2 linked regions of the Arabidopsis thaliana genome follow. The protein of the gene in region 2 interacts with the protein of the main gene of each other region in a pairwise test. Each region holds a gene or a part of one and is shown on either strand. Other genes may lie near its edges.

Region 1 (5,502 bases), on a different chromosome or scaffold from region 2:
TTCTTACTCTTAAATTATTTTGTCTTTGAACATTGAAGCACGGAGCATTCTGAGGAGGATGCTCAAGAGGAGGAACCAGCTGTAGAAGGGGCAAAGAAGGAAGAGACTGAGGACAAACCGGCTGTAGAAGAGGCTAAGAAGGAAGAAACTGAGGGTGAACAGGCTGTAGAAGAGGCTAAGAAGGAAGAGACTGGTGGCGAACCGGCTGTAGAAGAGGCAAAGAAGGAAGAGACGGAGGACAAAATCTAAAGAGTCAAAAGGCATTTTTGTGGATTGTGATAGTTTGGGTTCTTGAAGTTTAGCTTCTGAGAATTTGTGTTGTTTAATTTGGATAAGTTAAGTTGTGTGGGGGAACTCTAGAGAAAATTTTGGTAGGGTCTTTTTTTTTATAATATCTCTCTGTCTCTTTTTTTTACCACATACTCTGTTGCAATTTTTAGGGTTTTGGGGTGTCTTTTATTTTTTACGAGTTGTACAATTTCATTATTGGTTTAAATCTGTCTTTGAATTTGGGAGCGTTTAGTTGATCAGTGATCAATGGTGCGTAGAGAGAGTGATGTTTGTTATTAAGAGCCCAATTGGCCCAACTTAACCCGACCCAGTATCAGATCTGGCCCGTATTCTATAATCTTCTTGATCGGTGCAGTCCACTTAAGATATATGTGGTGAGGAATAAATCCAACCTGTACAAACACACAGAATGTAGTGGGACGGGGAATATGATAATACCACGCGCTTTAGAGCTGGGAATATATTAAAATTGATCAAAAATAGGCATTTTGGCTGGACTATATAGCTTACCCATTTTGATAACACGCGCTCAACGCTCCTAAGGTGCGCGTGGTACATATCCTTACCTCGAATAAAGTTTATGCTAGTTATTTGGCAGAATCTCAAAGCTTTTTAGAATCATAATTTTCTAAAATAATTAAATCTCTTTACATGTTTTCAAAGTTGTCAAACACTATTACAATTTTGAACATATCATCAATATCAGACAGAAAATTTTCAAAGTTAATACCTGGATCATATGCATTTACTATTTTCTTTTTGTTATATAGAAAAATATCAAATAGATTTTCTAAATAATGACATATACCCTCTTTTTATAGGAGAAAATCTTTTTCCTGTAAACATTCCTAAAATTACAAGTGATCAAACTATATATATATATATATGTTCTAGATTCATTTGGATAGTAAACTTTCATATCAATTCCTTAAGTTTATAAATTATGAAGAGCACATTAATAATATTTTTCACACTCTGTTTGAGCATGGCCGTTATGGCGCGTCACGAATCCTACTATGGCAACACCAAACCGGCTAAACTGAATGAGGAGAAAGTGACACGTGTCAGATTTTATCTCCATGATACTCTCAGTGGCCAAAATCCTACCGCCGTTAGAATCGCACATGCAAATCTAACCGGTGGCTCAGCTTCGCCGGTAGGTTTTGGAAGCCTGTTTGTGATAGACGATCCGCTCACCGTCGGGCCGGAGAAACACTCGAAAGAGATCGGGAATGGTCAAGGGATGTATGTCTCCGGGTGCAAAGACTTGAGCAAATTCACGATCGTCATGTACGCTGATTTGGCTTTCACGGCAGGGAAGTTTAATGGAAGCTCGATCAGTATCTTCTCGAGGAATCCGGTGGCGGAAGAGGTCGGAGAGCGAGAAATCGCGATTGTTGGTGGCCGTGGGAAATTCAGAATGGCGAGAGGTTTTGTCAAAGTAAAAACAAATAAGATTGACATGAAGACTGGTGATGCTGTTCTCCGATATGATGCTACTGTTTATCATTATTAACCGATTCATATGTTCCGATTAAAACAATAAAAAGGCCAACTAAATCAATTATTCAGATCAAAACTGAATTTTGCATGATCAAGAGATCAAAATTGATTAATTATGTTGCAATCTTTCTTCTCAATTCCCAAAATCTATACTAGTAATCTCTTTTACATATCTTAGTTGTGTGGATCGTGATATTTGAGATAGTCTTACAAAAGACATGATAGGGCCTGTGAGTGTATATGATTGGTTTTCCATCGGATCCTATCCGAATTTTATCCAAAATATTAATTATCGATGCCTTGTTTAAATTTTAGGAACGACTTTTATTTCATAGAAAATTTGAATATGTGTCTTCCAAGAAATAAAAATCACGTTGTATTGATATCTTTCACGTCGGAAAATAGCCAGGCATTAGAAATTGACAAATAACAAACAGTGAAGACAGCTATACAACAAAAATGGACCTACCATACATTGTAAACCCACTCTCCCATCAATTACAACTCAACCACTCTTTCAATATATCTCAACTAATCAATCAGTTCACATTTATAACACTAAAATGTTCCCACAATAAAAATTGTAACAGTTAATCTTACATATTAAACGCTACTACTTTTTTTCTATGGTTTTTGTTAAGTTAAAAGTTGAAAGTTACTTCTAATTTGCGAATATGTCAACGGTGTTTTGAGAAAGTAGCGTAATTATTAAAAGATTAACGTATAATTCGTAACTTCTTCAAACCAATAATAAGTAAATAAAAAACAATCATAACGACTTATGAGTAAAGGTTTATTGATAAAGAAGGCATGGAACATTTTATAAACAAGAGAGAACAGAATTCAATATAGTGATCAGAGAAGAGAGAGCAAAGGGAAAGGGTTAATCCTCAGCAATGGGCTCTCACCTTTCCAAACAACTCGAGCGGCGAAAAGCCATCTCCACGGAGAAGAAAGCCCTCACCGATCTCGAGAAATCGTGCGGCTGCGAGTTTCCGGGGTGTGATTACATGCCTTCCGATCGTAAAAACTGGATGGCCGGCGTTGGACCTGAAAAGCTTCACATCAACAAGATCGTCTGGCCTGGGACGCACGACTCTGCCACCAACAAAATCGGTATCCGATTCGTGTCTCGTCCCTTTGCTAAGTGCCAATCTCTCTCCATCTATAACCAGCTCGTGGCGGGTACTCGAGTCCTTGACATTCGTGTCCAAGAAGATCGCCGTGTATGCCACGGTATCCTCAAGACTTATAGTGTCGACGTTGTCTTGGCCGATCTCAAACGGTTTCTATCCGAAACAGAGTCGGAGATTGTCATTCTTGAGATCAGAACAGAGTTTGGACACGAAGACCCACCGGAGTTTGATAAGTATCTTGTGGAACAGCTTGGAGAGCATCTGATTCACCAGGACGATCACGTGTTCTCCAAGACAGTCGCTGAGCTGCTTCCCAAGAGAGTGATCTGCGTTTGGAAACCGAGGAAATCGCCTCAGCCTAAGCATGGTGATCCTCTTTGGAGCGCTGGTTACCTTAAAGACAATTGGATCGATACAGATCTTCCATCGACCAAATTCGAGAGCAACATCAAGCATTTGAGCCAGCAGCAACCAGCTACTTCAAGGAAATTCTTTTACCGGGTGGAGAACACAGTGACGCCGCAGCCCGATAACCCAATAATGTGTGTAAAACCGGTGACTAAGAGGATACATTGCTACGCCAAGGTATTCATCATAGAGTGTGTAAAAAGAGGATGTGCTGATAAACTGCAGATATTCTCAACTGATTTCATAGATAATGAATTTGTTGATGCTTGCGTTGGGCTCACCTTTGCGAGAGCTGAAGGTAAGGCCTGAGGAATGAGCGTGTGGAGACAGACTTTGTGTATCTATTTTGAAGGAAAAGAATCAGAACATGGTTGATGTGTTTTAGGGTTGCTTGTGTATAAGAGAACATGTGAGTGTGTATTTGTATGTGTGTGTGATTTACGAGTGTATATTCCAATTCATTACAACTTATTTGAATCCTGATACAATTGCGAGATATCCAAACTCTTCATTACTATTAATTTCTGATACTTTTGCAGATGTTGTAGTTGATAGACAGGCAAAACAGAAGGAAGAAGTATACAGTTGATGGTAAAATCTAGTTTTAACAAGTGAAAGAGAGCTGCTAACCTGAGAGATGACTATATTTCTGCAGCAATGCCCCTTTTTATTACACACTACTGTGATCTTCAAGAACAAAAAGATAATAGAATCAGTTATGCTAGAATTCATATCAGTAGCTAATGACACAATGCATCTCTATAATTTCATTATTTGATTATATCTATAAACTGAGATGATGGAAACATGGTGCAAAATCCTAATAATTTGAGATTAGATTTCTTCTCAAGACTTGAAACACAAAAGAAGAAGAAGAAGAGCATTTGATCCACAAGAGTGATTGAGCCGAGCCAAATTATTCTCCCTGCTGAGATCGGCAGCGAGACCACTCTTCTAGACTCTAGACATGGGATGCAGAGAAACCAACTTTTTTTATTTAAACGGCTGCGTTTTAAGTCATGTTCTCAAATGATACCAGTTTTTTTTTTTTTTTTTTTTTTGCTAAGCACAAGTTTGATTTGTTGTTTGGCACTTTACGATAACATCATTTTACTCCTATACTTTCTCACGGTAAGTGATTAAGATAAAAACATGCACATTTTTCGAATTATAAGCTAAATTTAAAGGGATCTATTTTCTATCTCTCAATAATTTTTAAATTTTACTCATTTTCTATTTCTCTTATAAATTAATTACTTGGTAATTTAGTTTTGTAATCGATACTCAAAAATCGATATCCAACAAAGGACAATCTCTTTGCGGTCAATAGTCTTCTCAAATTACTTCATACAATTATCATACTGTTTGGTAAAATTTGTGAATCTGCCTCATAAAATGTACGTGGAAAGTGGAACAACAGTTAATGCTTATTTTGACCACAAGATTGAGAAAATTTTGAAAAGAGTATATTGACCAGTTGCTGACGTTGCATGTCATTCTTTAATGTTGTTGTTGACTGCAACAAAAAATAAAATACAACATACAAAGTAAAAAAATAAAAATAAATTAATTGATCTTTGTTTCTCTATTCCCCAGAGAGCTAGCTTTTCAGATCTAAAATCAGAATCTGACGGCTGATATCCCTCGTGAAAAACACCCCAACCGTCCAGATGCAACTGCTTGCTGGGCCAATGATCCATTCTCTTTCCCGAAATGGATTAATCAATTTAAGCCTTATCACATGCTGGCCCATTTTCTAACTCCTCTTTTCTTTTTTAACTTACTTTTCTTTCTTTTAATATTTTAGTTGCAGATTCATTTTCGAAATCAACGAAATTTATGTTTTTTTAATTTTCTGGGTATCTTAATCGCGAGATTTTTTATTTTAATATCACGCTCGAATATACAATTCGGAATGTGCAGATGTTTTTTTTGAAGGCAATTTAGAAAAATAGACAAAAATCGAACAAACATATATAGAAATAGAGATCTAAATAAAAACATTTATTTTATTTCCTCTTGGAAACAAGGAAAAAATGAATTGGGGTGGGTGACGTGGCAGTCATACCCTTGCCACACCCTTCCTATACGCATATAAACAGCAGCTGCGAGGAGAGAGAGATTTCAGAGTATTTTCTAGGGTTTCGTTTTTTTTAAAGATTTA
Region 2 (5,875 bases):
AATTATCACAACGCTGTAATAATTCTTATAAATATGTATGATTGAAAAGAAATTTATTTGAGTAATTATTTTGAACAACATGGTTTAATACATACACAATTTATGGTATTCTGGCTAATATAGATTCAATAGACCGATCATAATGACATAGTAGTATTTATTTGGTAAACATTAATTAATTCGCTAACAAATCATAGATAGGTATCTATCATTGAAAGCTATATGTAGCATAGCTAGATAAATGTATGTGTGTGTAAAGCTAGATTCGTATAACCGATTGAAATCAGAAAACGATAGGATCGGGGGAGGTTTAATTTCACCCACATGATTGTCATTTTTCCTTTATGTGGTAGCAACATACACAAATTTATATGCATCCATCATATATCAATGTGGGTCACCTAGATGCCTATATTATTGGGGTTTGATCAGCCGATGTTTGTTGTATTTGGGTTGATTTTCCACATAATTCATTTAAAGCATCATCCATTAAAAACGAAAAAACATTTCATATATGGGTTACAGAAATTTTATTCGATGAGAAATGTCAAAATATAAACGAGAAATTGTGATGTGATGCAATATTGCTAGTGAATTATGAATATCTATTGTTCATGACTACTGTATACATATTACTATAAATGTCCATGGATATATTTATAGTAAATAATATAAAGAAGTCAGGGGAATGTGATTGCAAATTTGCATACACCGTATGGATCGTACGATGAACCAAAACTATATTAGGCACCAATCAATCAAAATTTTTAAGAGAAACCAAAGTTGCTTCAATAGTAATTAGAGATGGGGAAATTAAGGTGGAGGAGAACCACAAAAGTGGCACCTCTCATATTTTAAATTATTATGGACCAAATAAAAGAAAGAGGGAGAGAGAGAAACAAATACTCACGAATAAGAACAAGAAGGATTTAACAAACCCATGATCATTGTTATCATTAGCCTACCACGTCACTCCTCTTTTGTCCATTTCTTCCCACTTTTAATATCTGTTTTAACTTACCCTCGAAAAATGGAGAATTGTTTCGTAATTTTCTCAACCTTTTCTCCAAAATATTCAGATTCCTTTCCTCATAACTATAGAAACAAACGTAACAAAAGAAAATGTAATATTCAACCAATCTCTGAATAATATGCATATTACTGCATAACTAGATCATTATACATGCATCCTTATTTCAAAAAATTAACGAGAAAAAGTTTATAAACATTTTAGAAAATTATATATAACTGGAATCAACAAAAAGGACTAATTGTTATTTAATATACTAATATAAGAAATCCTGAAAATAGGGATTAAAACAGGAGACGAAGAGCAAGAAACAGAAAATACTCTAAAGACACGAAACCAAAGAGAGGGTGTTGCCTAGTCAGCATCTGATGACGTGGCATAGCTCTCGTGTGTGTGTGTCTCTACAAACTCTAAAGAAACGGCTATAAGTGGAAGCGTTTGGAGAGGTCACGTGATTTGCACAAATTTTTCGTTTTCATGCTATTATTATCGTATTATTAATCACGACTCTCTCTCGTAACGCATCATTTTTTTCGTTTAATTTACCTTAATTTATTCTCACGCGCGACGCTCCGTTTCGACGCGTGGAGTTTTTGCTCAAAACATGCATGATTGTTAACGTTTTCTTTTTGTACAAGGAAAAAAAAAAACGTGTACCTCTAGACAAGAGTTAGAGAGAAATGAGAAACTGGACCAGGAGATGTGAATGGTTTCATTCCTACTTTGGTTAATCATTGCAAATGCCAATAATTATATAGAGAACGGCGTCAATTTTCTGCAAAGAAATATCTTTACTGGTACTTTTTTGTGCTACCTATAAATGTGTTGGTTTAATCTAGCCATCACACGTATATTTCTAGCTATGTTAGATCTTTAATCATTCTCACCTAGACTCCTTTACAAAAACCAATATAGATGAAACCAGTCCCACCCCTCTCATTTAAGTCATAGTATATATTTGTGTAACGAGAATACAGACAAAACAATTAAATTCATTGTAATCATACTTGAAAATATAGTCAATGAAATTAATTATCCTACATTTTTGAAAACAGTGTCTATAATTATTATGTACATTGAATAGATACGTGGGATATTTTGGATTCCAGTTCATATATATGTAGATTAAAAATAAAGAGAGGGCGATAAAGCCTAAAGAAAATGTACAAATCGTAATGTAATCTAGTGATGATTTCCTCTATATAGGTTGATGTTGGGTAGACTTTTGGTCACCATGATATTTATCTATCGTCTATAAAGTACAAAACTGTGGTACTAAATGTGATTTATGAAAGCTAATTAAAAAGAAGGCGTGAAGAAAATGAAATCGTAATAGACGACGCGCGTACGAGATGAGAGTAGTGGAGGAAAGAAGTAAGATTGAGTGAATGATAAAATGCAAACGCTACCTACTAATATCTCCACTTGTCATGCAACCAGACTGAGTTCGTTTTCCTTTTCGAGTCTTATTTTTTTGTTTTTTATTCTACTCAACACGTTACACGCTTCTAATAAACTCTAAACATTAAAATCAAAATATTTTGACTACAATGGTTATTTTGGAGCTATATATAAACCACCTGAGCCTCCTCAGTTTCCTCCATGAAATAAAAAGAAGCATCTTCTAGAGAGAGACATATAGAGAAAGAGAGAGAAAGCTTTAGGGTTTCAAAAAAAAAAAAAAAGAGACCCTTTAGAAATCTCCTAACAGGAAAGTTTTCTCAATTGCTATAGAAAATGGGAGTCATGATCAATCACCATTTCCTCGCTTTTATCTTCGGCATCTTAGGTAATGATAAATCCACAAAGCCAAATCCTAGTTTGTTCATCATCTCTTGTCTTTACTGTTATTCTTATGTTTTTTACTTGTTAACAAAAGGAATTTGCAACAGCAACTATAATGTTGCAACTTTACATCTAAGCTTCTGTTTTCAAAACAATATATACTATGTGTAGGGTTCCATTGTAGTTCTAGCTTAGAGTTAATTAAACAACAGAGTACTAAGAAATGAATTGAAATTCTGTAGTGTTCATCATGACTCACCTAACAAGTTTCAAGTTTTTTCTTCATTAACTAAACTAAGTCATTTGGGATTATAAATGATCTTCTAATTCTTTAGTTAAATCCCAAACTACCAAAAAATAAATCAATACGTAAGCTATTAATTAAATTGAAATCGTCACGCATTGTTGTCCATGTTATATCATACTCAATACGTGTATAGTGGTTAATGCACAATTTAATTCCCCGCTGAGGTTGGTTAGAGAACCCGTACTGATTCATATGTACTTATGTTTCCACAAAACTAGAAGCCTCTTAATTATACAATTGACTCATTTTTTTATTTTTACATGGAATTACAGGAAACGTGATATCCTTCCTTGTATTCCTCGCTCCAGTGTAAGTAGATTCAATTTACTTTTTTTTATTTCATTTTATTTATTTGTTAGTTTTGAGAATGATTCTGATGATTTCGTTTTTCAAAATATTCAGGCCAACTTTTTATAGAATATACAAGAGAAAATCGACGGAAAGTTTCCAGTCGCTACCGTACCAAGTGTCGCTATTTAGCTGCATGCTATGGCTCTACTACGCATTGATTAAGAAAGACGCTTTTCTCCTAATTACCATCAACTCCTTTGGCTGCGTCGTGGAGACTCTCTACATAGCCATGTTCTTCGCTTACGCCACCAGGGAGAAAAGGGTAAAATTATTCCCCTCTCCTCCTCCTTAATTCCGCTATGTAATTAAATACGAATATTAAATGAATAATATGCGTTTTTGGCAGATATCGGCTATGAAGTTGTTCATAGCAATGAACGTTGCCTTCTTCTCGTTGATTCTAATGGTAACACATTTCGTGGTTAAAACTCCTCCCCTCCAAGTCTCTGTACTCGGCTGGATTTGTGTTGCCATTTCTGTTTCTGTTTTCGCTGCCCCTCTAATGATCGTGGTAAGCTAGCGTTATTTAATTTAATTTGTAAATTTATTTCTAGAACATTATATTTTGAAATAAAATGTTAAATATAAATTCTTGATGTGAATAGGCTCGTGTGATAAAGACAAAGAGTGTGGAGTACATGCCCTTCACGCTTTCTTTCTTCCTCACTATAAGCGCCGTTATGTGGTTCGCTTATGGTTTATTCCTCAATGACATATGCATAGCGGTAAGCAATTAAGCATCTATATTATTATTTATTTTTACCGTTTGCTAAATTTTTTAAATATTCGGTAAAAAGGTTATAACTGACCTATTTTGTATGGCTTTGATGATATTTTGTAGATTCCAAACGTGGTGGGATTCGTACTAGGGCTGTTGCAAATGGTTTTGTACTTGGTTTACAGGAACTCAAATGAGAAACCAGAGAAGATTAATTCGTCAGAACAACAACTTAAGAGTATTGTCGTGATGAGTCCGTTAGGTGTGTCGGAAGTGCACCCAGTTGTGACGGAATCGGTGGACCCACTCTCTGAAGCCGTTCATCATGAGGATCTGTCCAAAGTTACTAAAGTGGAGGAGCCGTCAATTGAAAACGGCAAGTGCTACGTGGAGGCTACTCGTCCTGAAACCGTTTGAAGTGTCAATATGTGAAGCTCAAAATATTGCTCTCTCTCTCTCTCTCTTTCACTCTCTTTCTCTCGGCTCGTCAGGGCCGGCCAAAGGAAGAAATTGTATTATCGGCGGGGTGGTTTGTTAAATTTCCATTTTTGTTTCGTATCTTATTGATGATGTACTACTTGCATAAAGTTTTGTGTTTATTTGAATATATTATCTTTGTGTAAGTTGTAACTAGTGCTCTTTGGAAAATTTGATATAATAAACCTCAATAGCTTAATTACTCCTACTAATAAGCTTTTTTTTTGTTAAAACTAATAAGCTTGTTGACCACCCTTTTTTTTTATGATTGATTACATTTGTCTTAAAGATGTCGCCGTCAGTTAGATAACGAATGGTCTTGTGCCATTGACGACATACTGTTTAACGATTTTGAGAATTAACAAATATATAAAACTCATGAGTCAGAAGAAAAAGTATGTACATAAGTTTGTGATCTAAACTGTCCCCATCAAGTATATACAACCAAAGCAGATTATATTCTTTTTTAAACGAATTGTGTTTTTCTTTGTAGAGTCTAATTTTCAAGTGTACAAAAAATCATCACCGTCCAGTTTTGGAAACGAATAAAAAATTGTCAAGACGTCCCAATGGTCTGATGAAAATGTATTGCAAGCATATCTCACACTTCCAAGTGACAATCACTATATTATTTGCTTATTCGTAACAAAATATACAAGATTACTTAGTTATCTACAAATATTATAACCATCCTATGATTATATTACCCCAAAATATTTTAATATAACTATAAATAACTCGTAAGAAATAATAATATGAAATATATATACTTGTTAACTAACTTACATTTTAAACCGTAACGACAAAATCCGACAAAGAATCATATATATTATAGCGAATTTTGACAAATTACGCATGCCAGTGTAGGATACGCTATGTAATTTATAAAATTAGTATGTCTCTTGATGGAAAAAAAGACAGAGGTTTTTAGTTAATAATTTTTCCTCTTACTTAAAAAATTCTAAAATTTAGGACTATCTAGTAAAGAATAGATTCTCCGAGTATTTAGAGGCCAAGAAATGATATTCACCAAAACTAAAACATACGGGAAGTTTCGACATCCATTTCAATAGACTACACAGTACACTGTCAATAGTAAAAAAAAGTCCCGACAAAAACTTGATAAGACCAACTAAAATCTTACAATCTGAATAAGCCATCCTTAAAATAATTGTCAGATTGCGAGGGCATGTGACCCACGTTGTCC

Evidence for each region. Proteins that work in one complex are often made in the same cells at the same time.
Region 1: the proteins of SAG29 (region 2) and AT4G38690 interact in a protein complementation assay, tested with the Arabidopsis thaliana proteins (one large-scale study listed by BioGRID).

The regions. Positions count from the first base shown.
Region 1 is NC_003075.7:18,072,888-18,078,389, reverse strand, and holds AT4G38690 (PLC-like phosphodiesterases superfamily protein), read left to right. Parts: upstream 1-2,432; 5' UTR 2,433-2,690; coding exon 2,691-3,647; 3' UTR 3,648-4,070; downstream 4,071-5,502. Other genes in the region: AT4G38710 (glycine-rich protein), read left to right, coding at 39-249; AT4G38700 (Disease resistance-responsive (dirigent-like protein) family protein), read left to right, coding at 1,235-1,807.
Region 2 is NC_003076.8:4,180,064-4,185,938, reverse strand, and holds SAG29 (senescence-associated gene 29), read left to right. Parts: upstream 1-2,584; 5' UTR 2,585-2,767; coding exon 2,768-2,819; intron 2,820-3,394; coding exon 3,395-3,431; intron 3,432-3,524; coding exon 3,525-3,735; intron 3,736-3,819; coding exon 3,820-3,984; intron 3,985-4,078; coding exon 4,079-4,198; intron 4,199-4,314; coding exon 4,315-4,608; 3' UTR 4,609-4,897; downstream 4,898-5,875.